Styela clava: one gene and its partner. The protein of the gene in region 1 interacts with the protein of each later gene in a pairwise test. Links are inferred from orthologs where the notes say so. Each region holds a gene or a part of one and is shown on either strand. Other genes may lie near its edges. The genes, in order: BCAS3 microtubule associated cell migration factor-like and phagosome assembly factor 1-like.

What was found.
Region 2: the proteins of BCAS3 microtubule associated cell migration factor-like (region 1) and phagosome assembly factor 1-like interact in binary tests that used the Homo sapiens proteins (3 or more experiments, as listed by UniProt). The link is inferred for Styela clava from reciprocal best matches to the Homo sapiens genes BCAS3 and PHAF1.

Annotation. Positions count from the first base shown.
Region 1 is NC_135257.1:2,743,350-2,755,091, reverse strand, and holds the start of BCAS3 microtubule associated cell migration factor-like, read left to right. Parts: upstream 1-6,320; 5' UTR 6,321-6,422; intron 6,423-6,880; 5' UTR 6,881-6,895; coding exon 6,896-6,987; intron 6,988-7,102; coding exon 7,103-7,154; intron 7,155-7,859; coding exon 7,860-8,042; intron 8,043-8,361; coding exon 8,362-8,446; intron 8,447-9,123; coding exon 9,124-9,190; intron 9,191-9,844; coding exon 9,845-10,029; intron 10,030-10,974; coding exon 10,975-11,051; intron 11,052-11,742. Other genes in the region: calcipressin-2-like, read right to left, coding at 1,078-1,233. UniProt on the Homo sapiens protein: Plays a role in angiogenesis. Participates in the regulation of cell polarity and directional endothelial cell migration by mediating both the activation and recruitment of CDC42 and the reorganization of the actin cytoskeleton at the cell leading edge.
Region 2 is NC_135263.1:19,871,375-19,882,497, forward strand, and holds phagosome assembly factor 1-like, read left to right. Parts: upstream 1-5,724; 5' UTR 5,725-6,647; coding exon 6,648-7,868; 3' UTR 7,869-8,425; downstream 8,426-11,123. Other genes in the region: tubulin-specific chaperone C-like, read left to right, coding at 8,477-8,942, 9,203-9,458, 9,625-9,919. UniProt on the Homo sapiens protein: Plays a regulatory role in autophagic activity. In complex with BCAS3, associates with the autophagosome formation site during both non-selective and selective autophagy.

The DNA of each region.
Region 1 (11,742 bases):
TGAGTCTTAATCATATGACAAACCACAGCCGCTTGTTTTAGATGGCGGAGGAAGACGTGAGCGGCCAGCCGTTGTGCGAACCACACTATGGCGGAAAGGAGTCCAGCAATTCTCTCGCACATAAGTTTTACTGCAGGGTAGAGGTGGCAAGCATATTACTAATGCTTAGCATAAACAGATGATGCTCCACAGCACCGAGCCTATGCTATATGGCTACTGAGTTATGCCATTTCTGCATGTCCTAGGCTACAGTACCGGTATGCTACGGAAATGTTCTGTCAGTCTGTACTTAGAATAACAAATCAGCAAATAAGTATAAGTTTATTTCGACTCCATAAACAGCATAACAATAAAATGATTGATAAAAACGGATAAATCAAACCTGATTATGAAATCAGAGAGAGCAAACAAAACCTTGAATAAGGTTTGGAACGTACATAATACAATAATAGAATATGGAAGGTATTGCCAAATACAAGTGGTAAGTGTTCACTCACCTAACTGCCTAAAGTTATATCAAATATTACGGTATATATAATTTACTGTCAGACTGTTCTGCATCAAGAAGATATTGCGGGTCTAGTATAGTTTAGTACCACAAGTACTTCCAGTGGGCGTAGCATAACAATTTTTGCATATGTTATTCCTAACCCCCACCTGACTATGCCATCTAAAAATTACGTTACTCTGACGTCACCATCACGTCATAGGGGTTGCCAAAGTATAATTATGATCGCTCGAAATGGCATCTGCGCCGCCGATAAGAACTTGCTAAAGCTGGCGATCTCTCTCCTATCGTGATCGTTGCGACGAGAAAACGAGAGAAATAGCTTGCTCGATTTCGGTTATCGTCTGCACGTTTTGGACGACCATCCGCATACTTCGGTGAGCCTTATTACGCCACTGTGACGTCGGAATGACGTAATTTTTCGGTGACGTAGTCAGGTTGGGGTTAGGATTGACATATGCAAAAATTGTTGAGCCAGGCCAACTAGAAGTGGCTGTGGTACTAAACTATACCAGACCCAATATTGCAATGTACAGATAGCCAATAAAGTATTTAATGTACAAGCATACCTTAACGTCTTCTTCACAGAACACCATATTCGGAACATCACACACAAAAACAGAACTTGGCAAGTCCTCAACATCCAATTCTTTCAGGAGCAATTCCGCACTGGCACAGCCATTATGAGCCTCCCTCTTAGATATGTCTTTCGTGTCAGGTAGCATTGAATATGTTGATATTTTATAAACCAGTATACAGTATCCTCTGAAACCAAGAGTATTTCCCTTTTGAAAACTGAATTATAGACTCAATTCATCCAATACTGTAATAGGCCGAGATCAACGTAACTGAAAAGCCATAAAGGACATAAAACCATGGTTAACTGAATATAAAACCTCAAAATGTAAACAATAACTAAATTAAATACTAATTCTACGCGGATAAATTTAGATGAAAAATTGAAAATTTCTTTTACAGTAATTCACTGTTGCATACAATGGTATTTATATGTTATGTATAGGTATCATATGGGAGAAAATCTGAAAAGGATGGTTTAATTATTATTATTAATATATATATTTATTGCCACATCGTCTTGTCAACCTAACATATGGGATAATTGACTAAAGTCAGTCATATACTTGTAAACTTACAAGTGTGTGGCAGCCGTTTACTTATTAGCAATAGCCAAGAAATTCGGAACTCATTCAACATGATCTAAAAATTAATGCGATATTATTTCGTCAAATATTTTAATATAAATAAATAATTTATTTTGAACACTTCCATATAAAAAAAAAAATACAAAACAAAGGACAAACACACAGGACGGCAATTCTTTGACTTACTTGTCAAGGCTTCATTACAGCCTCTGCGGATCAATCTGAACTATTGCTTTCCGTTTGTTTCCACGGCTAATCTCGGATGAGCCGACTTCAGCAACTGTTGTCTAATCTTTATGTACTCCGATGTCCCCGGGGCCGAAGCACTAATGATATATCTTGATGATATTATTTACACAATTGTGAATTCGAACTTTGAATAATAATTTTTTTTAAATAATGCGATTTCATGGAAAAGGACATCTATGTTCAGAGCAAGTCTGCCGTTTAGTTTAATAAATACTAATGGCCGTTGTTGGTTCCTGACCTTATTAGATATTAGAACCTTGGGTGTGGCTGCTCAATAACCAGTATTGGGTCCCCGCGTTTTCCCTCACCCATTGTAACTAAAGATTTATTAATGTATCGCCATCGGTATTAGTTATTTGCAATATCGACCATTTTTTTGGTATCGGTATTTGTATTAGTGTCGGCTAAATGTAGACCGATACTTCCGATATATTTTGCTTTTAAATCTGATTACGAATGTTTAAGAATATGTTAGAGAACGAATCTTGAAATTATTTTTTTGCGGCATGACATTTGCGGTATTTCTCCTCCGCGAGTAGAAACTAAAACTTGATTCTGACTTGTTTTTAGTTATTATTAAGCCAAACTAGCTCAACTAAATTTGCTATTTTCGCTGCCAAATGTTTATATTGACATTTGTAATATTACAGGGAAGTTATGATGAAATATATCAATCGAAGATTAGTAGATTATCCAATGTGTGACATACAAAATACGACGTTATATTGGCACAAATTCCTGCGCACGCAACGCAATATATCAGTTTGATATGATAAGTGAATATTTATTCACTTTACCATCCATAGTAACCGGATCGTATGAATTTTCTAATTGAACAGCGAGATTACTAGAGTCGATGCACAATGCATCAGAATTGATTAAGGTAATGCATCTGTACACGAGGTAATAATCAAATAGTATCAGAATATCGGCAATATCGGTTTTTTGAAATATCGCCTCGTCGGTATCGGCATATTTTCATTTATATCGGTAACGGCGGCAAAAGTGGTATCGGTTCTCTAAGTATAACCGAGTTAAATTTTTATATATTTTAATTCCGTATGCTATTTTTTACTGAGGGAAAAATAAATTGACTATATTCAACAATTTCTGATATTTCGGAAGCGAATTCCCTGCAAGACCTATTTTTAGTATGTTATTGCTGAATTGAAAAACGATCTATAGTCGACAATCGTTTTGCAAGTCACAACGGAATCTACATTTGTAGGAAGTTGGTGTTCAGTTTTGTTTGTATCGGTATTTTTACTCATTTCTTGAATTATCCGCTTCATATCCTCTTAGCGCAAGGAGCACGTGCCCTCCTATTTCCTCACTACCAACAACTCAAACGAGCTTGATTAACTTCTGAGTCGCACTTCCGGCACACGATTGTTTATTGTAAACTGCACTGTACAGTAATCAACCAATATTTTAATCTAATTCTAAATATTTGGCAGCTCTTATAGGGAAAGCGATGTTAGAAATAATGGACGAAATGCGTAATTTACAAACTTAATAAATAATAATAAAGAACAAGGATAGAAAAACTCAATTAAGGACGGTTGGCAACCCTAGTTGGGCAGCGGTGCGTGCGCTAACAGCCAGTACTCTGTTCCCGTACTTGTAGTTTATAAAAAGAGCTCATATAATTTACAGTTAAAAGAAATTGTTTTCGGCGTCTTCTCTCACCATATAATGCATTTTTTTTTAACATTTCCTTTAATTTGTGTATAGTTCGTACTTTCAGCATGATGAAGAAATAAACTAGAATATCGGTTAGAAACCGAAGACTTATCGATCGAAGGTTAGGGGATCTCCCAAAACAGTGGTCTTACTCCATAGTGACACTGTGTGTCCCATCACTAATTAATTAATAACTCGCTAACTATAAGACATAATCCATCCAATAGGCTTCTGATCCGAGCTATAACGAATGCACATGCAAAATTTGAAGCAGATTCAACCTCGCTTCCGTGAGATATCGCGTGCATCTAACATACAGACAAACAGACATACACAGACAAATACCTATCAACATACTTACCGATCTTAAGATTGGTAAACTTATACTTATATACTTATACTTATTATAAGTAAATACTGATTACTGAATGGCAAGACTGGACAAATATAATATTTAGTGGGCGTCGCAATATGACCTTTCAACTCTTACATGGTTGACCGCCGACAAGTTTGTTTTGTTTTTGTCAGCTGATGAGCTTCAGGAAAAATCGCTTTGTTTTGTCGTCCTTGTGGTGCAATTGTAATTGTTGTCTGCCTGAACTATATCTGCACAGTGAAAACGCACGTATTTACTGGAAGAATAGTTTTGCGAAAAATGAGTGGATTAGCAAAGTTATTTGGAGGAGGTAAAAGTAAACAGCCAACACGAGAGGAAGCGATCCAGAAATTGAAAGAAACACAGGAAATGCTTGAGAAAAAATCAGAATACTTGGAGAAAAAGATTCAAGATGAACTTGCTACCGCCAAAAGACATGGCACTAAAAATAAAAAGCTAGCCTTAACAGCACTTAAAAGAAAGAAGAGATTTGAAAAACAACTTGGTCAGGTGGATGGGACTTTATCAAATATTGAGTTTCAAGTGGAAGCGTTGCAGGATGCACAAGCAAATGCACAAACTTTCAAAAACATGCAATATGGCGCAAAAGCATTGAAACAGGTTCATGGAAACATGTCAGCAGATGATGTTCATGAGGTTATGGATGACATTGAAGAGCAACAACAAGTTGCTCAAGAAATAAGTGACGCATTGTCAGGTCCTGTAGGATTTGGCACAGACATTGATGAAGATGATCTCATGGCTGAACTTGAGGAATTAGAGCAGGAAGATCTAGACAGAGAATTGCTGAATGTGGGTGCAGCAACAAATGAACTTCCTGATGTCCCAGTATCGGATCTACCTACTCCAGTGGCAAAAGTGAAAGATGATGAAGCAGAACTCAGGCAGCTTGAAAATTGGATGGCAAGCTGAATATGAAAAAAAAAATGTCTGAATGATATGACAATGTTTCAGTATGCTTAGTCACTGAAATGATCACTTTTGTCATTTGTCATTTGCTTGCACTATCAAGTCATCTGCTGCAGTTCTTCAGAATTTTATTATTCAACAATTTCTAGCATCCATGTCTACCCAATTTTAACTGTTTTTTTTTCTTGATATTATTACAGACTATGGTGATTTAGCAGAAAAAATATGATGTTTTACAGAAAAAAATATTAATTTTCATATGAATCAGAAATAATGATATTTAAAAAAGATGGCTATATTCAAAACCAAATTACTATCCTTTTATTCAATCAATTTTAAATATTTGCAATCCAGAATACTAGGTCATATATTATGTTGACATCTTAGATAGAGGCACACTTTTAATGACATATTGGTAAATCAGCAGATCCAGTGTGGATGAATTAGACGTTTGCTCATCATGTGTTTGATCTGTCAAGATATATTTCTTGCATGATGGTAAAGATAGTACAGAATTGTACTTTATAAGCCGGATCCGTGGAATTAGAATAATAAATTATATGTGACATAATTATACAACCTTTATATTTTATCGGGGAAAAGTTGATAATAATAATATACTTACCAGTAGGTTGTATGAAAATTCTTAAATATTTTGAAACCCTTTTCTACATTACAGCTTTCACAAATTCGCAATTATGTGTAAAACACCTGGCCTCTGCTTCAGTAACTGAATAGTTTATTGACCAATACTTGTTTTTATCAAGCAGCTTTATAACTTCATACTGTCTTAGATCATTACAGAATTAATCAATGCTTATGTTCTGTATCAGGAGAAGAATTGTATTCTTTTTTTCGAGAATTTATGCATTCATATATTATTTTTAATTTCTCACTTTAATTTTTCAATATGTCGCTTTTTTCTATTTTATTTCGTTTCAAAATTTCCATCTGTTTCTAAAATAACATCGAAGGGTTTAATTGTCAAAATGATTTGTAATATGGAGAACCTGTCAAAAGGTACTCAAATTTTTTCATACTATTCATGGTGTGTTATTCAGAGCTTAGGCTTGAATGTTCGTTATTACTTGATTATATTTTAATGAGATCAATTTGAATTTGCAGCTCAGGTATATGTTATATGTATATTTACCTGAGTTGGGATATCTTGTTGGGACATTTTTATAGTTGTGCGTGTATTGTTAAAGTGCATAATAATAATAATAATAGATAATCAGGATATTTTTTTGGACTGCCATAATTAGATATATTTTTTCAGTTGGAATCTGTTTAAAATGCAAGTATTTCTATCACCGTTGTTTTCGTGCATAGGCGATTTGGAAATGCATGTTTTAAGTTTCAGATAGTCACTTTTTTAATGTTGTAATATTATTATATTATTACTCAAAAATATGTTTAATTTTTTTCTTAGAAACTGATAGCAAAATTAAAATGCTAATGTATCAGATACAATTCACACAACAACCAATTATTCCAGCTATGTTATTCAAAGGTATATTGAATTAATTTTTAATGCAGGTTTATTTAGAAATTATGTTTCATGTTCACACAATAAAAACATGTTTAAAATCAATAACTCGCTAGGAAGAAAAGAGTCATAATATGTGAGAATTATATTTTAAAATATGCTTCAATGCAAAAATTGACGGATCGCCTCAACATTTGACAAACAATAAAAAACACGATGACGATGATTCAGAATTTGTTTGAGAAGTGAAACTAACTGATTATTCTTTCATTTGCATAACAGAATATTTTTTCCCATTTACTCTCATAAATGATTTATGCGTTAGATTTTTGATTGTCGAACCTACTTATATGCCAATATTTGTGGAACATATGTTACACTGTAACTTGCTGTAAGGTGATGAATCACTTTCAAAAACCTTGCTAGCTTCTATTTCACTTTTATATATTGTAACTGGTAAATTGCTTTTATTATATTTTTAGAAGTTCAATAAAGACATGTCTGGTGGTATTACAAATTTTGAAACGATGAATTCAAGACGTCGAAGAGACGCGCCTTCGGGTCATGTTGTGCAAGCACAACCAATGAAGTAAGTATATTTATAAGTTCAAATTCAATCAACTTACCCTTGAGCAACCAATACACTTCATGAACATGTTCGATTTGGGGATTGCATGGATTTAATTTTATTTTACTCTTTTCAGAGACAGTTCTTACATGGAAAGCATGGTGAATTTTTTTCATGATATTGGACAAGTAAGTGTTATATTATAAGATTTCCATATTTATATACAATATAATATCTGCTTGTACATTTCTTATCACTAAGATATAGGGAGCTTTGCATAGAAAGATAAGTCTGCTTTATCTATCTTAACATGTGTGAGATAGAAATTGGTTGATCACAGAACCAGGAGCTGGAGATTTTAACCAAATATGTTCACATGATTAAGGTTCTCAACTATAGAAAAACTGTCTACATTATTGCTTTATATATCAATATTGTCCAGAAGAGCGAGTAGGCCTATTCAATATCTAACATAGAAACTTGCACTTCTCCAAAGGATATAATCCACCATAAGTTTCAGTTAGGAAAATAAGTTGAAAAGCTCTTGCACCTCTGATTACCCTGCAGTGATTCACAGATAGAATTCTGTGGGGGATGATCATGTGCGATAGGATTTCTAGACTCTTCTTTGTTTTTGTAGCGAGTTTCATATATATGGTGTAGTCTTTCTACACAAGTCCATACATCTGCAACGAATAAATGGTTATCCATTCTCATACCTGACATGAACTGGTAACCATATAAGAGGGTGTTGTTCACCATAATATGATTAAGTGTCTTATCAACTTTTCTCTCCCTTGGATAAATATAAAAATCCCATCCTACAAAATTATTCATCTGAAAGTAATATATTCAGCTGTATTCGTAATGTTGTACTCTCTTATATTCAATAGGTATATTCTAATACATCTCAAGCAGAAGAAAAAGAAACTGTTCTGTGGGCAAGATTATTTGATTATAAGAATGCTCTGGATCCTGAATTTGACGGTTTTACAAATGGGAGTAGAAATGATGTTGTTGATTCTTTGCTGTTGATCCTGGGATATAAAAATGGAGTACAAGCATGGATAATATGTGTAAGTTTGATTTAAAAGATGCCTTTTGTTCAGGGATGATCATAAAAGTCTTCAGTATTCTAATTAATAAATCCAGTAACTGAACGAATTTTCAAAATATGATTTCAAATCTGCAGCATATCTATAGCGTTTGAGGAAATTTTATATTCCAAGCATGATAGATTGACAAATTGATTGTTGTAAAAGTACTAACATAAGCAGTTTCATTTTGGTGTACTGTCTGTCAGATATGCTGTTCAGACAATTTCGGACAGTCCAGTACTTTCAACATGTGTAATATTCTTCAATAATTTTGTTAAAAAACTCCTTTTGATCCCAGGAAAATGGTGAAGTACAAGAGATCTTATCTTTGCGTGAAGGTCCTGTGAAGACAGCTTGTCTAGTTCCTCCACCAAGCAGTTCAAGTATGTTTGTGAATCCTATATATGTTATTAATTAATTTGATGGCTTCATAAATGTAACAAGCTTTGTCTAGACTAGAGAGAGGGTCCCAGAGGTATGTTCAAATTCTAGTGTACAACTGTACATTGCATTTCAATCTTCGATATTCTGATCAGCTTGAGTTGGTGAAGTAAACTGGCATATTATTTTGTTATTGGAGTGAGAACTGGAGCTGTATCTCATCGGGGCGATATTCAAAATCTAAATTTGATAGAGTTTGAATTTAAGGCTTCTAATGATTATAATGGAGGTTGAAATTTCTGTCCGAAACTCACAAAACATCGAGTTGACTAAGCACTCTCAACAAACAGGTATAAAAGTCTCACATACTCCAAAGTTGTTGTTATTTAAATTTGATTTGTCATAGTTCAATACTAGAGTCAGAGTCAAAACTTCCTCCAATCTGAAGTTGAGGACAAATTCTGTTTCAATTTGGACCAGGAGACATTTATTAAATTTGAAGTTGGAGTCTGTTCTAAATTTTTCTTGACTCAACAGCCCTCATTTGGATTGTTCAAATTTAGGCTGTGAGAAAGCATCGAGAAAGATGCTGTAATTAATATTCTGAATCATTTGAATGCTTTTCACCAATCTTACTCGTAATCTATAAGATAAACATAACTGGTGTTTTTAATTATAGGTGATAAAAAGCATGATGAATACACAATATCTCGTCCTTTGCTAGCTGTTTGTATGGCTGCTGACAGGTTAGTTCAGGAGGTGACTTGAGGAATACTGATTAATGCGCCTCAATCTTCCAATATTTCATACCTGAGTTGGTAGCTTGATGATGCATATGCCCATAAACAATAGTCTACATCACTGCAAAAGTAAATTTGTATTCACTGCCACTGGCCACTGCAAACTTCTATTTTCCTTTTCAAAGTTCTGCTGAGGCCGACTAACTATACAAATATATAACTTGGTATCAGGTATGGCTGAGACCTAATACCTTTATTTCGTGATACATTCTAAAATAATATTTTTAAATATTAAAGATGAAATATATTTCGTATTAAATTAGTCTAACGACGAGCACATCTGGTAGTTTGATCCACATTTTATTTAGTTTGAAATAAAAATGCAGAAAATTGAGAATAAACAATGATTCGATTGGTCTCTTTTTTTTTACCCTTTTTTCTGAAATTGAAAAACTATGAGACTGCAATCTTTTAATGAAACTATTTCAAAAGAATTGCATTCCTATAATCGAGAATTTAAAAATCGAGTGTAATTAATTTTGAATTCTTTGAGTATTTAATCCATGTTAGACATTTTTTCCTGTTGTATTATTTGGATATTGAGGTTCGAAATCAATTATATTTATGACTGCTGTTAATAAAAGTCAATCATTGTTTTAGAAAACAGCTATTCACATCAGTGAGTATATTCTCTTTGCGAACAAAGGATAAAATACGACAGTTAGAATTCGATGAAAATGTTGAAGAGCTGAGTACTGGATTGGAAGGAATGATCATTGTCACGTTGAGATATGAGATAAAAGCTTTCAACACTTTTGACTTTAAACTAATTTTCACAGTCAGAGGTTGGTATATCGTTATGTTCATTTTCAATTTGATGTTATTTAATATCTATCTTTTACAAACTATCTTACACATATTTTTCATGTATATTGAAATATTGGTCATTTGATGGATTGAAAATTTGATGGATTACTAATGATAAATGAGGGAAATGTTACCCTCAAACATCATTTGATCAATAAAATTGAAATGCTCATGAATATAGACTACATAAAAGCAAACCTAATTCTGGCAGATCTAAATGCTCTTTAAGTCTTGCAAGTTTACTAAAAATAGTGGCTAACTTCATACTATAGGTATTTGATTATATTTAAAACAATAACATTTGAATGTAAATTTGTGAAACCCTGGTTGAAAACCACTGCTCTAGTGTTTTTTGTGATGTTTAATTGCTCTTCATGACCCATCGCTTGAAATTGAGATACTGTACTCAAAGAGACTAGATCTTTCAATCACAATACAAAGTTATACAAAGATTATTTAGCCGTGCATGTTTAATCCTAGTCATAGTATTAGATTTTATGCTTGTGTTGGAGTTACCACCAGCGTCTAAATTTGCCCTTAATTTGGAAGACTAGAAGTAATTGTTTCATATTTCTAAATATTCGAATATTAATTTTCCTAGGGTCAATGTCCAAACGCCAAGGTCATTCTGCCGAATCTAGTTGGAAATGGAAATTTGGTTTCATTTCAGAAATAAGTGACATTCCTAACTTACTCTGTAGACAATAACCCTTGTACTGGAATAAATAAAAATAGCCAAATGATCCTGTATTCAAGTGATTGTGGCATTGTGCTTAATATATTCTCATTATCATTATTCACACACTACTAAAACATATTGTCAGGCTGGTACTAATTCAGCTGAAATATTTTTTGTCCAGGCTGACTTATATGCTAATAATTAATGCTGAGGGTATTCAATCTGTCATTATCGTTTATTTCAGACTGCTATCCAAGTCCAGGTGTAAACAGCAACCCCATTGCAGTTGGAAACAAATGGCTTGCTTATTCTCCTGCTAAGGTCAGTATTTAATTCAAATTAGTTAGAACACATGTCCAGTGTTAACAACAGGGCTACCAGCTCGAATCCCAAATTAAGGATGGGGATAAAAGTGATTAAATTCAAATATATTTATCATCACCAACAATTTTTCATTGCTTGAAATCGTTCTAAACATTCATTGCAACTCCAGTCCAGATTTACTTTTCGTTGCAAGATTGGTTGTGACTGTCAAGGTTAAATAATGATCAAGGTACGGTGAAGGAAAGACGGTATGATTCTCGGTGGTTTGGCTGAAAACACTATTATAGCACAAATTTGGGAAATTGACAAACATTTACATGCAGGCTCTGTCCAATTTAAGAGCCATCCTCGCCTGTATAATTTGTTTTCAATATTCAAATTTATGTTGTGTTTATCTGATTTATGAAAATATTGATGTAGTTTAAAATAAAGTCATATTTCAAAAACCAGGATTAAATTTATTGATGTGAGTGTTAAAAATAAGTACAAACTGAAAAATGAGGAAGTTATGGAAGTGCTGCTTGATGATGAAGCTTACAAGATTGGGAATGGAGTCACCATTCACAGTGATATTTTTATTTGTGAATTTTCAAGAATACAAGCTCTCAACTACTTCAATTCATTTCATATATATTCGCATGGTATATTGTCATAATGCTTTTGTTTGAGGATTTTACCAAGTCCAAAT
Region 2 (11,123 bases), on another chromosome or scaffold:
TGCATCGATTTATTTCCGTAACAATCACCAATAAGGCGAAAATGACGCAACAATTAAAATATACGCGGCTGCTCATACATTTCTCCCGCTCAGGGCTCAGGCTGATGGGTGTAAAAAATGACTCATTAGTAGTTTTGCGTGTTATTTGTCAGTTTTCAGTTGAGTTTCCAAAAGTTAGTTGTAAATCAAATAACTTAAGTGTCATTATGTCTACCAGGAAACTTTAGTTCAGTTGCAATATTCAAAAATTAGTCCCGAAAAAGCTGCTATCGACTAAGCTAAAATTTTAGGATCATTACCTGTGAGCGACATATGGTTAAATGATTTAAATTAAACGAAAATAATAGTTTTGAACATATGAACCAGTTCATATGTGCCAACTCTCCAAAAATTAGAGGGAGTATTTTTCTGGTGTCAAGTGTCGGGGTAACATCGTATGGAGACTTTCTCTGGGGTGAAGGGTCGAGAAAACAGTCATTATGCATGCTCATGTGGTTAGTTAGAAATAAAATTGTCAGATAATGCCAGCACTTATTTTGAAGCAAAGAGGTGATTTTGAAGATTGATTTGCACACTCTATCGGTTACTTCGAATAGCCTCAAAATAAGTGTTAACATTTCATGGTTACATACCGCAATATATATATCTTCATTGTATATATCAAGTCCATGCATCTGAAAATAAAAACTAGCTAACTAATCCCGTATCCGACATCGGCTGGGCCGTGGTTTACCATGTTATTAAACCGCCGGGATAAAATAAATATGCAAAACCGTTGCAATAATTGGCATCTCATCAAAGAACAAGAGAGCGATGCTCATATATATGGACACGTAGACCAGAGCGAATCAGTCCTTATTGGTACCTTTGAGGCTACCGGTACCCTCAAAAAAGTTCCGAATTTCCAGTAGCAAAAATTTTGCAGAATCAAAACGTACATCCAGTCACCACGCGGACTAAAATCCGTGTTTCCATGTATAAATAATAATACAGTGAAATTTTGGAGGAAATATCAAATTTCATAGAATTCATACAAAATTTAGAACTAAAAAGTAATAGCCTTCTGGAGAAAAGTCCATCTTCAACCACTGAAAATTTCAAAGCAATTGGTCCAGTAATCGAAAAGAAAAGCGACTTTTCAAAAACGTGTCAAAGAACAAGCATAAGAACAACAAAAATACCGAAACGATCGTTATATCCACTACGTGTCCAAAAACAAATTACCATCTTATCTTATTGTGAATGGCAATAAATTGAATGATGGCAATGCAATTTGTAGCGCTCTTAACCAACATTTCTTAGAAGTTGGTCCTAAACTTGCTTTACGAATAAGTCCAGTTGCAACAGATCATATGCAAACTGAACACTAAAAGAAAGAAGAGAATGAAATTTCTTCCGACGAATAATGAAATGATTGAAGTTACTAAAAAGATGAACACTAAATAGAAGAAGTGGATGAAATTTCTTCCGACGCATAACGAGGTGGTTGAAGTCACTAAAAAGCTGAACACTAAAAGGAAGAAGTGAATGAAATTTCTTCCGACGAATAATGAGGTGGTTGAAGTCACTAAAAAGCTGAACACTGAAAGGAAGAAGTGGATGAAATTTCTTCCGACGAATAATGCTGTGGTTGAAGTCACTAAAAAGCTGAACACTAAAAGGAAGAAGTGGATGAAGTTTCTTCCGACGAATAATGAGGTGGTTGACTCGGCCAATGTAAATAGCATCATTTCGGACATAACCCATATACCCAACACTGTTTCGGATCACATACTATGCCCACAAATTACACTAGAACAAACCAAAAAGGTTCGATGGGGCAAAGGAACGTGGCGCAATAACACCGCGCTATATAAGGACCCCACGTATATCACCATCATCCAAAATACATATAAAGACGCACTCACGGATATCGAAAACTTTGATTACTTGTCGGACTGGTGGGACTATGTGAAAAAGAGGGTTAAAAAACAAACCATTGCCTACTCGAAATTCCGGACACGTGACCACAATACTAGCTTAATGCAAATTCGAAAAAGATTTGATATATATACTAATCAATGAGGGGAAAGCGGAAAACATGATCGAAATCAAAAGGCTAAAATCGCAGATCGAGATAATTCAAGATGAACGAAACAAAAGGGACATACTAATGGCAAAAATGAAAAACCTTGAAGAAGGAGAAAGGCCCACCAAAACCTTTTATGAAAAAATCCGGCGCAGATCTAGGCAAACAACAATAGAAGAGCTGGTGACAAATGACCAAAATGTAAAAACAAATCCCGGGGAGATCATATCAATAGTAGAAAGTTTCTATAAGAACCTATGGGGCAAAGAGAATATAACGCAAGAACAATACCAAAATCGTTATCTAAACTTAATGGGCTCTTCTAAAATTGCAGATGAGGATAATATCATACTAGAAAGTTATATCTCACAAGAAGAGGTATATAGGGCGATAAAATTTATGGGAAACGATAAATCCCCAGGATTTGATGGTCTATCCAAAGAATTCTACCTGACCTTCTGGAACTCTATTAAAAAGCAATTTACTCAACTTATGAATAACATATTATATTTCGGCCAAATACCAAAATCTGCTACCATAGCGAAAGTTAAATTAGTATACAAGAAGGGAGACAAAACAATTTAAAAAATTGGAGGCCAATCACAACGCTCAATGCGGACTATAAAATCCTATCAAGAATCCTTGTTAAACGATTAGAACCAGTACTAAACAAAATCATAAGTCCATCCCAGAAATGCGCACTCAAGCAAAGATGTATGGAAGATGTTCATTATAATATAGACGCTATAATTAGACACTGCAAAATGAAAAATATCCCCGGATCACTAATAATAATAGACAATCTTAAAGCTTTTGATAGAGTGAATCATGACTTCTTATTTAAAATTTTACATCAAATTGGACTTGGAAATAGAATCTCAAAAGCAATTAAAAGCATGTATTACGGAATTAAAAGTCAGGTAGATGTAAACGGTAGACTCACGCAGGAAATCGATATAGGGCAAGGAATTAGACAAGGATGCCCGTTAAGTATGCTTCTCTACGCCATCAATATAGAGCCCCTAGCAAGATCGGTACAATTAAATGCCAATATACATGGTATCCAACTGGGGAGATACGAGCATAAACTCGATCAGTTTGCTGATGATATCACGTTCGCAGTTAGAGATCAATTATCTATTACAGAAATCTTTCACGAGCTAGACAATTTCCATTTAGCAACAGGACAAAAAATAAATAAAGATAAGACCGAAATTCTCTGTATTACAAAAAAATCGCATAATTTAGTGAACAATTCGCCACATGGGAACTACATAAAACAAAACACCATAATACTTGGAATACAATTTGGAAATATGGACTTAAACAATATGTGGCAGGTAATCGAAAATAAGATGATACGAACCCTAAATTACGTTAAGCTGCGAAACCTCACCTGGTATGGTAAACTGATATCAATCAACTCCATGATTATGTCTGTCATAATCTTCCATACGAGAGTAAAGAGAATCCCGAAAACGTATATAAAGAAAATCGAGAGTGCGCTGTTTAAGTTCCTCTGGCACCCGCAAAAGATAGAGGCCATTAGCAGAAAATCGCTACAAAGAATGTGGAACGATGGTGGGATCAATATGATTGATGTTGATGCAAAAATAAAGGCATGTGCAGTGGAAAAAATGAGATACATCGTGGGTAACGAACCCCTAACTCAATTTTGGCAAATAGAGGCATTATACTCTTTGGGATCCAGAGTCAAGCAAATTAACAAGGATAGATACACCAACTCAATGCCCCACAGCAATACTATTCCAGAGCAATGGGCATACATCCTCGACATCTATAAAGAATTGAATTTCTCGCAATCCACCTGGGAGGTTGCAAGACATAAAGACCTGTACATGAAATTAAAGAACAACAGGACAGCCAAAGACAAACAACAGCTGCTGAATGTGAATTGGGAAGAAGCTCACCTATTTAACCATGATTATAAAAATAAGTTTATTAACGCGGAACGAATAATCTCGTATCGCATTATAAGAGAGGGGTACTTATTCGGCGATCGCTTGAGGGGAATGTCCCTCAGGTATGATACTCTCGGAAACTTAAAAATATTAGGCTGCAAATTTTGCAAAGGGCCTGTAGACAATACAGGACATATAATTATAAACTGTAAATCAACGAGGAAATATGCGGTGAAACTTTTAAAAATTCTTAACAGCGTACTAAGCAACTCCATCAAAATAACTCTAAAGGAAATATTCTACAATAGTTACAGGGGGCATAACCGAATAGTAGTCACCAAATGTTATGTAATATGGAAAAAGAACTTAATTGGCACCAAAATAAGACTGGATATCCAAAATAAATATTTGACCCCTATGGACGATGACATAATTTCAAAAACAATATCTCACTTTACGCAATTTTTAAACACAATGGAGAACACTTTTACTAACCTTAATTTTCTCGGAATAGTAAATAACTGGAAGGAGATCCTAAATGGATATTCAGCTACATAACGCAATCCACCATAAACAAAAGCATATCTGCCCAAGTGGACTCTGCAATTTTATTCATTTTTTATGTCGGAAATACCGGAATACCGGAAATACCGGAACAGTCTTATCGGCTTTCCTCGCCCCCGGGACAAATATGTAAATCCTATTTATCTGTGCTATTCTTATTGCTGTATTGTTTATTTATATTTCATACTGAGCCCGACTCTGTTATGATGATCTGTAATGTACTAGATCACAGTTTAGCACTAAAATATCTGCTGACTCAGTTTCTGCCCTTTTTATATTTATATTGTAGCAACCAATTCTGACAGTTACATAACAGTGTAAAATTGGTCACGAGCCTCGATGACTTTCAACGGTCTTGCATACTGGCCAACACAAAACAATGTGTAAATTGGATGATCTACTTCCATAAAAATCATCGATATTGCTTTATATTGTTTTATCATTGTTTGTGGAAATAAAATCTCTCTCTCTCCTCTTGCATACTGGAATAATTAATTTAGGGTCAAGGGTCGAGTAAACATACTTTATTGCGCGGAACCTTTTCTGACTTTTGCAGGTTTGTGAACAAAAAGATCGCGATATCCACATTTACGGTATGCGAGGACATCAAGGGAAGGGTAAGAACCGTACGGCGTACGGTATTATATGCGCTCTATACGAAGCGGACAGGCCTCACTCATTCTTCCTCATCAGTGTTATCAATTTCAAACGCTTTATGCGTAAAGTATTCTCTCTTTAATGTCATCTACGAAACGATTAAGTAGAAAGGTTCGTAACATTGATGTAATTGCATTAGGACAGTTATGATATCAGCCAGTTCATGAAAAATTGCATATTTAAATAAATGCAAAGTTATTTTATATTCTTACAAATTATTTAGCATAATGTCTGAATGTAGGCCTAGTCTTGAATTGATTCTTTAAATGAAATATACAGAAAATATAGATGAAATATTATTTTAGTTTTAATATTTAATATTATTAAAGTTTTTTATATCATTATTTATTCGAATTTGTTCTAGGCTACCGGTAGACTACCTGATCTCAACTAGTCTATCATCTCTTTCAATTCATTCCTCATTTAGTACAAAACATGTTTCTTGATCTTGACTGAATCAAATTTGATTTTCAATTTAAAATGCTCATTGGCCAAGATATTACTGTATTATGATCATGATTTTATTATCCATAAGAAAATATAGCTTCTAAGCTTCAGATCATATAATATAGCACTATGTTTGTAAATTGAAAGTTTGGCAAGAGATCCCACAGTTCATCTAAAATCTGGCTGGTATTTGGATGGGAAACTCCCAAGTCCATTTTCAAGTATTTTGCAGTATTGTGGCGTCTGAAGGCTGAAGCTGCCGCGAAACTATGGCCGCTATGCCAAACTCATGGCGACTGACTTTTTAGCTGCCAGAAACCATTTGCGGGTAAAATTTTGCTGCCTTAACCACGGCAGGTAGGCCCACTACTGCACTAGGCCGTAAAGACAGGGCTGCCCTGATAGTGACAAATATTGGGTAAGTTGGAACATTTTTTTATGGATACAGTTTTACATGTATTTGGGGTTAGGTTTCAGGTATAAATAGTCTATTTATCTATTTAAAATAGATATATTTCCGCATGATGAATTAAAATCTGGTATATAACTTTGTGAATATACGGGCAATAGCGCATAAATCATGGCAAGAGCCGCCGCAGTACGTTCGTGGCAGGAGCTGCCATGAAGTGGTAAGAACTGCATTAGGGTGAACTCAGAAATGCAGCATTCACTACTGCGGAGCTTTGTGATGCAATAGTCTATGTTTAAATTTTTTCACATGTTAATTTTAGTTGAACGACCTTCCCCCATCCAGTTAGTCCCATTATCATTATTTCTGATATGGCAAATTTATTAATGGGGTAATCCATTTGAGGTAAGTGGAAGCGTGTATCTTTTTTTTCGGTTTTCATTACTCATTCGATTATTCGTATATCTGTTTTATTGCGACTGAAAATCGGAATAAACTCTCTAAATTGTACCTATATTTTATTTGTATACAAATAGTTTGTTATTACCAGATTACTGTATTAGCTAAATCTAAGAGTGAGATGCTGGATTTAAATGTTCTCCCTGAAAGATCTCTTGGAAATGAACAATGGAGTTTTGCACTTGGAATGCCATTATCACAGATTGTACAAATTTTACAAACACATTGTCGAGTCATAAAAAGTGTGGAAGTCATTTATCAAGAGAAACGTCCAATCGAATCTGATCTGGTGTTGAACCTGAATAGTGATGGAATAAAACTTGTTTTTGACTCTACTGCACAACGATTAAAAGTGATTGAAGTTTTTAACATGTCAAAAGTTAAACTTAAATACTGTGGAAATTATTTTAATTCTCCACAAAATAAACCAACCCCGGAACAGATTGAACAAGCATTTGGCGCTACTCGACCAGGGCAATATGATGCAAGTTTGCAATCGTACATTGTAAGCTTCAGAGGTCTTACTTTTTTCTTTCCAGTCGATGCTCAATTTGAAAACTTCTTCGCTAAGCATTCGTTATCAAGTGCCACATCAAGTTTGCCCACAGATTTTATTCCTGCTGTATCAAGAATGTGCATTTATGCTGGGAGCCAACTGAATGAAACGACTGCACCAGCAATGCCATTGTCTTGTTATCATGGAAATCTATATCTTGATTCGGCTGAAGTTTCTTTCAAAGAAAATGGCAAAGAATGTGATGGACTAGATCTGAAACTAATAACTGTTCCTGATAATAAAAATGAAACTATCATTTTAGAAAAATCAGTTAAATTTGGTGATAGTGTTCAGCAAGTTCTTGCAATATTAGGATCTCCATGCAAAATTTTTTACAAGCTTCAAGATAAAATGAAAATACATTCTGCAAGTCCACGTAAATTGAATGAAACTCGCCACACAGATTATTTTTATAATTATTTTACTCTTGGAATCGACATATTATTTGATGGCAAGTTTCATCAAGTGAAAAAATTTCTTCTGCACACAAATTTTCCTGGACATTACAATTTTAATATTTACTATCGATGTGATTTCAAAATTAAGCTTCTTGGAGAGGAAAACTGTGTTGACGTTACTCCATGTACACTTTGGAATGATGTAATTGGCCAATTGCCTTTTGATGTTGGCAAACCAGTTGTTCTGAATAGAGCATCGTCAACAAATAACACTAACCCCTTTGGATCAAATTTTTGTTTTGGATTAAGAAATATGATTTTTGAGGTTATGTCGAATAATCATATTGCATCTGTTACTTTGTATAATCCGCAAAAACAGTTGAAATAACTTTTCAAAAATAAGATATTACTAGGCAACAGTATTTGAATGCTTGGTGACTTCAATATTTGCTCTAATCATTGTGCTGTCTATGTTTATGTGTGTTCAAAATTTAAAAGTTTGATTTGTTTACATATCAAAAATTTATATATTATCATATTCTAGACATAAAAAATGAAATAATTATTCTGAATGTTTTGAAAAATGTTGATAATACTGGAGAATTGTAAATTTTTTTTGATCTGTTACAAGCTTTAATTGGAAATTTTAGTTTTTGCTTATAACAGATTACTTCCTGAGTAAAGCCATTGGTTCATAACTAGTTGGGATATATAGCTAGCTGGTTTGCAAAATTACCTGATGTTCTGAATTCTGTTGGGTTTTCTTTGTTGTTTTAGACTGTGTATGTTTTTTCCATAATGAAATAGAATAAATAGAAGATATGGTAAATAATAACTGTGTAAATAATTCTGAATCATCTTTATTAGTTTGTTAATGGTGCAAACAGTAAAACATTCATTAATAAAAGCAGGCTTTTAAATTGTTTACTTTCCATTTGAGCATAATTATTTTGATATGTTCTGGTAAGTAGTCTCTGGAAACATTGATCATTCAATATGGATGCTATTAGCAGTGAAACAAATGGTTCCAAAGATACTATTATGAAAAAGAAAGAACTCAAAACAGCAATGCTGGAGAAACGCGAAGAGGAAAGAGTAGATAGCATTCAACAAAAACGGAATCAAGACACAGAGTCAAAAGCGAAGATGGAAACTTATGATTATTTTATATCACATTTCAAAGATGAGTGCGATGCTGTACAAACTGAACTGGACAGAACAGATATCAATAAATCTGATCGCATTCAAATTGCAAGTTATCTTGAAAATTTATCTGAGTCCTATGAAAAAGTTTTAAAATTTGTAAATAACTCTACAATGTTTCTACGACCTTATCAACTTGAGCAGGCACAGAAAACTCTTAATCAGGTTCAGACGGATGTTTCCAAGAAGAAGCTTGAACTGATTCCCAAAAAAAAGTTCACATTTAAATCTAAAAAGAAGAACGAAGTATCAGTTAAAGGTAAGACATCTATTATTTCACTTGTTGCAAACTTTCAGTTTCCATTTCATATTCCAAGTGCAATCCAATTAGTCTATATGTAATATTTTAGTGTCCTACGCTTTTACTGTACATAGACTCTCAGATGCATTTGTTTTTATTAATAGATAATTTCATTCCGAGTGTGGTAAAGATAATTATGTATAAGATTGTAAAATTCAAAAGTGGTGAATGTTTTATGGAAACATTCTTTTAAAAAATACTAATATTGTATTATTCAGAATCTGATAAGAATCCTGTAAAAAAAGTCGACGATAAGAAATTTAACTTCTCCGCGAGTGAATGCGGAATATCTGATAAATACGATGCGACTATAGCTATGAAACCTGATGAAATTAATCAAAGAGATGTATCATTGACAAAACTAGAAAATTGCCGACTGGAATTAAGTGGTTATCCAGGAACAGTACACCTTAACAACATAAAAAAATGTGTCATATTGTGTGGACCTGTATCAGGTTCTGTGTTTGTTGATAAGTAAGTAGTGTCTCTAAATGTATTGATATTGATCTGGTTTTATTTTCTCATAAAAATTTAATACACCTAAAAGGACTGGGAAAATTTATTTAGTTCAGTTGATTATTGTAGTAAGGGATAATCATGATCCTCCCAGCTTTTTAACCAGGCTTATACATTTTTACAGCTGTACCGATACCAAGATTATCACTGGGTGTCAACAGCTCCGTGTACATAATACAACTGATACTGATTTCTATATCCATGTCACCAGTAGAGCAATTATTGAAGACACATCGAGGGTACGATTTGCACCATTCAATTGGACCTATGAAAATCTTCAAGATGATTTTGGTAAATCTGGCCTGAATAAAGATTTGAATAACTGGAGTAAGGTGGATGATTTCAATTGGTTAGCTGCTGATATACCTTCACCAAACTGGTCTTTATTGCCAGAGTCTGAACGAAAACAACAGTGGTAGATATTTTAACCTACAAAGGATGATGTATTCTGAATAATTATACCATAGTCAAAAACAAATCGAATATTGTGTGTTGTAGGTTACGTTGGCCATATTTGCAAACCTATTGTGTTAAATATTTAACCGTTTTAGAAATAAATGAGATAATTTGTAACGATAATGGTGGATATTTTGTTGGAACTGTATCTGATCGTTGAAAACGATTTGTAAGCAGATAGCAAAAACACGTCTACGGAAACTTTTGAAACCGAATATCAAGGAAAATGATTTCATATTACTTCAAGGGGAGGGGGAAGTTATAAAACAGCTCAATAATATGGCAATATAAGAACGCGCTTAGGGCACCACAGAAATTTCATAGCAGAATTTTATATAGTTTATCAGTGTTTATTAAAAATATTACGAGTTAACCATGCGACCGTCTTCAAGTATCATGTTATCCTTCTGTACCAAAAATAAACACTTAAACTTATTTATTGGACACGAAATGGGCTTATGAGTCGTTTTGTAAAATTACTGTTGTTTTTTCCTCCTAGTATTCTCCTTGTTGATGCATTTTTGTTTTAAAAAAGTTTATTTTCTTTTCAACAATTGGACCTATGAACTATTTGCACTATGTGGCGGTTTCACAATCGCATTTCAACGATCTAGTGGTCAGCGAAGTCGGGAGTTTTTTGATAAGGTAAACCAGGGCGGTCCAAACCCTGTCATACTGATACATTCCGTGCGGCCCACAGAACACTTTTAGCGTATATTTGTATCTATTAGCAGAGCGTTTTCGAGTTTTTTAGATATTCCAACTTGGGTGGGGATCCCGAGATCCCCCTTTTTTTTCTAACGCTTTGTGTTTTTATTTTAGTAAAAACACTCTTCTGTTTTCAAGCGTGGGCCATGTTTCAGTAGTGACGAAACGCAGAGCCGACTTAACGCCGCGCAATCCATTTTTTTCAGCAAGGTCCCGAAATACCAACTTAGATGGTTATTTGACGATGGCACTAAGCTTGTCATTTTTAGCAGTTTTGAAAAAAACGTAAAAAACTTCCATTTTAATAATTCAATAATTTGCCATGGTTCAATTTTTTGATCGTAGCCGGATTTGAAGTTAATTTGTATGACGCAGTTAAGTGACGTCGTAATGGCGCACTGTGACTTAGGCAGAAATGTGTCTATGACTTGGGGACATACGCAATTTTGTAACTTTACT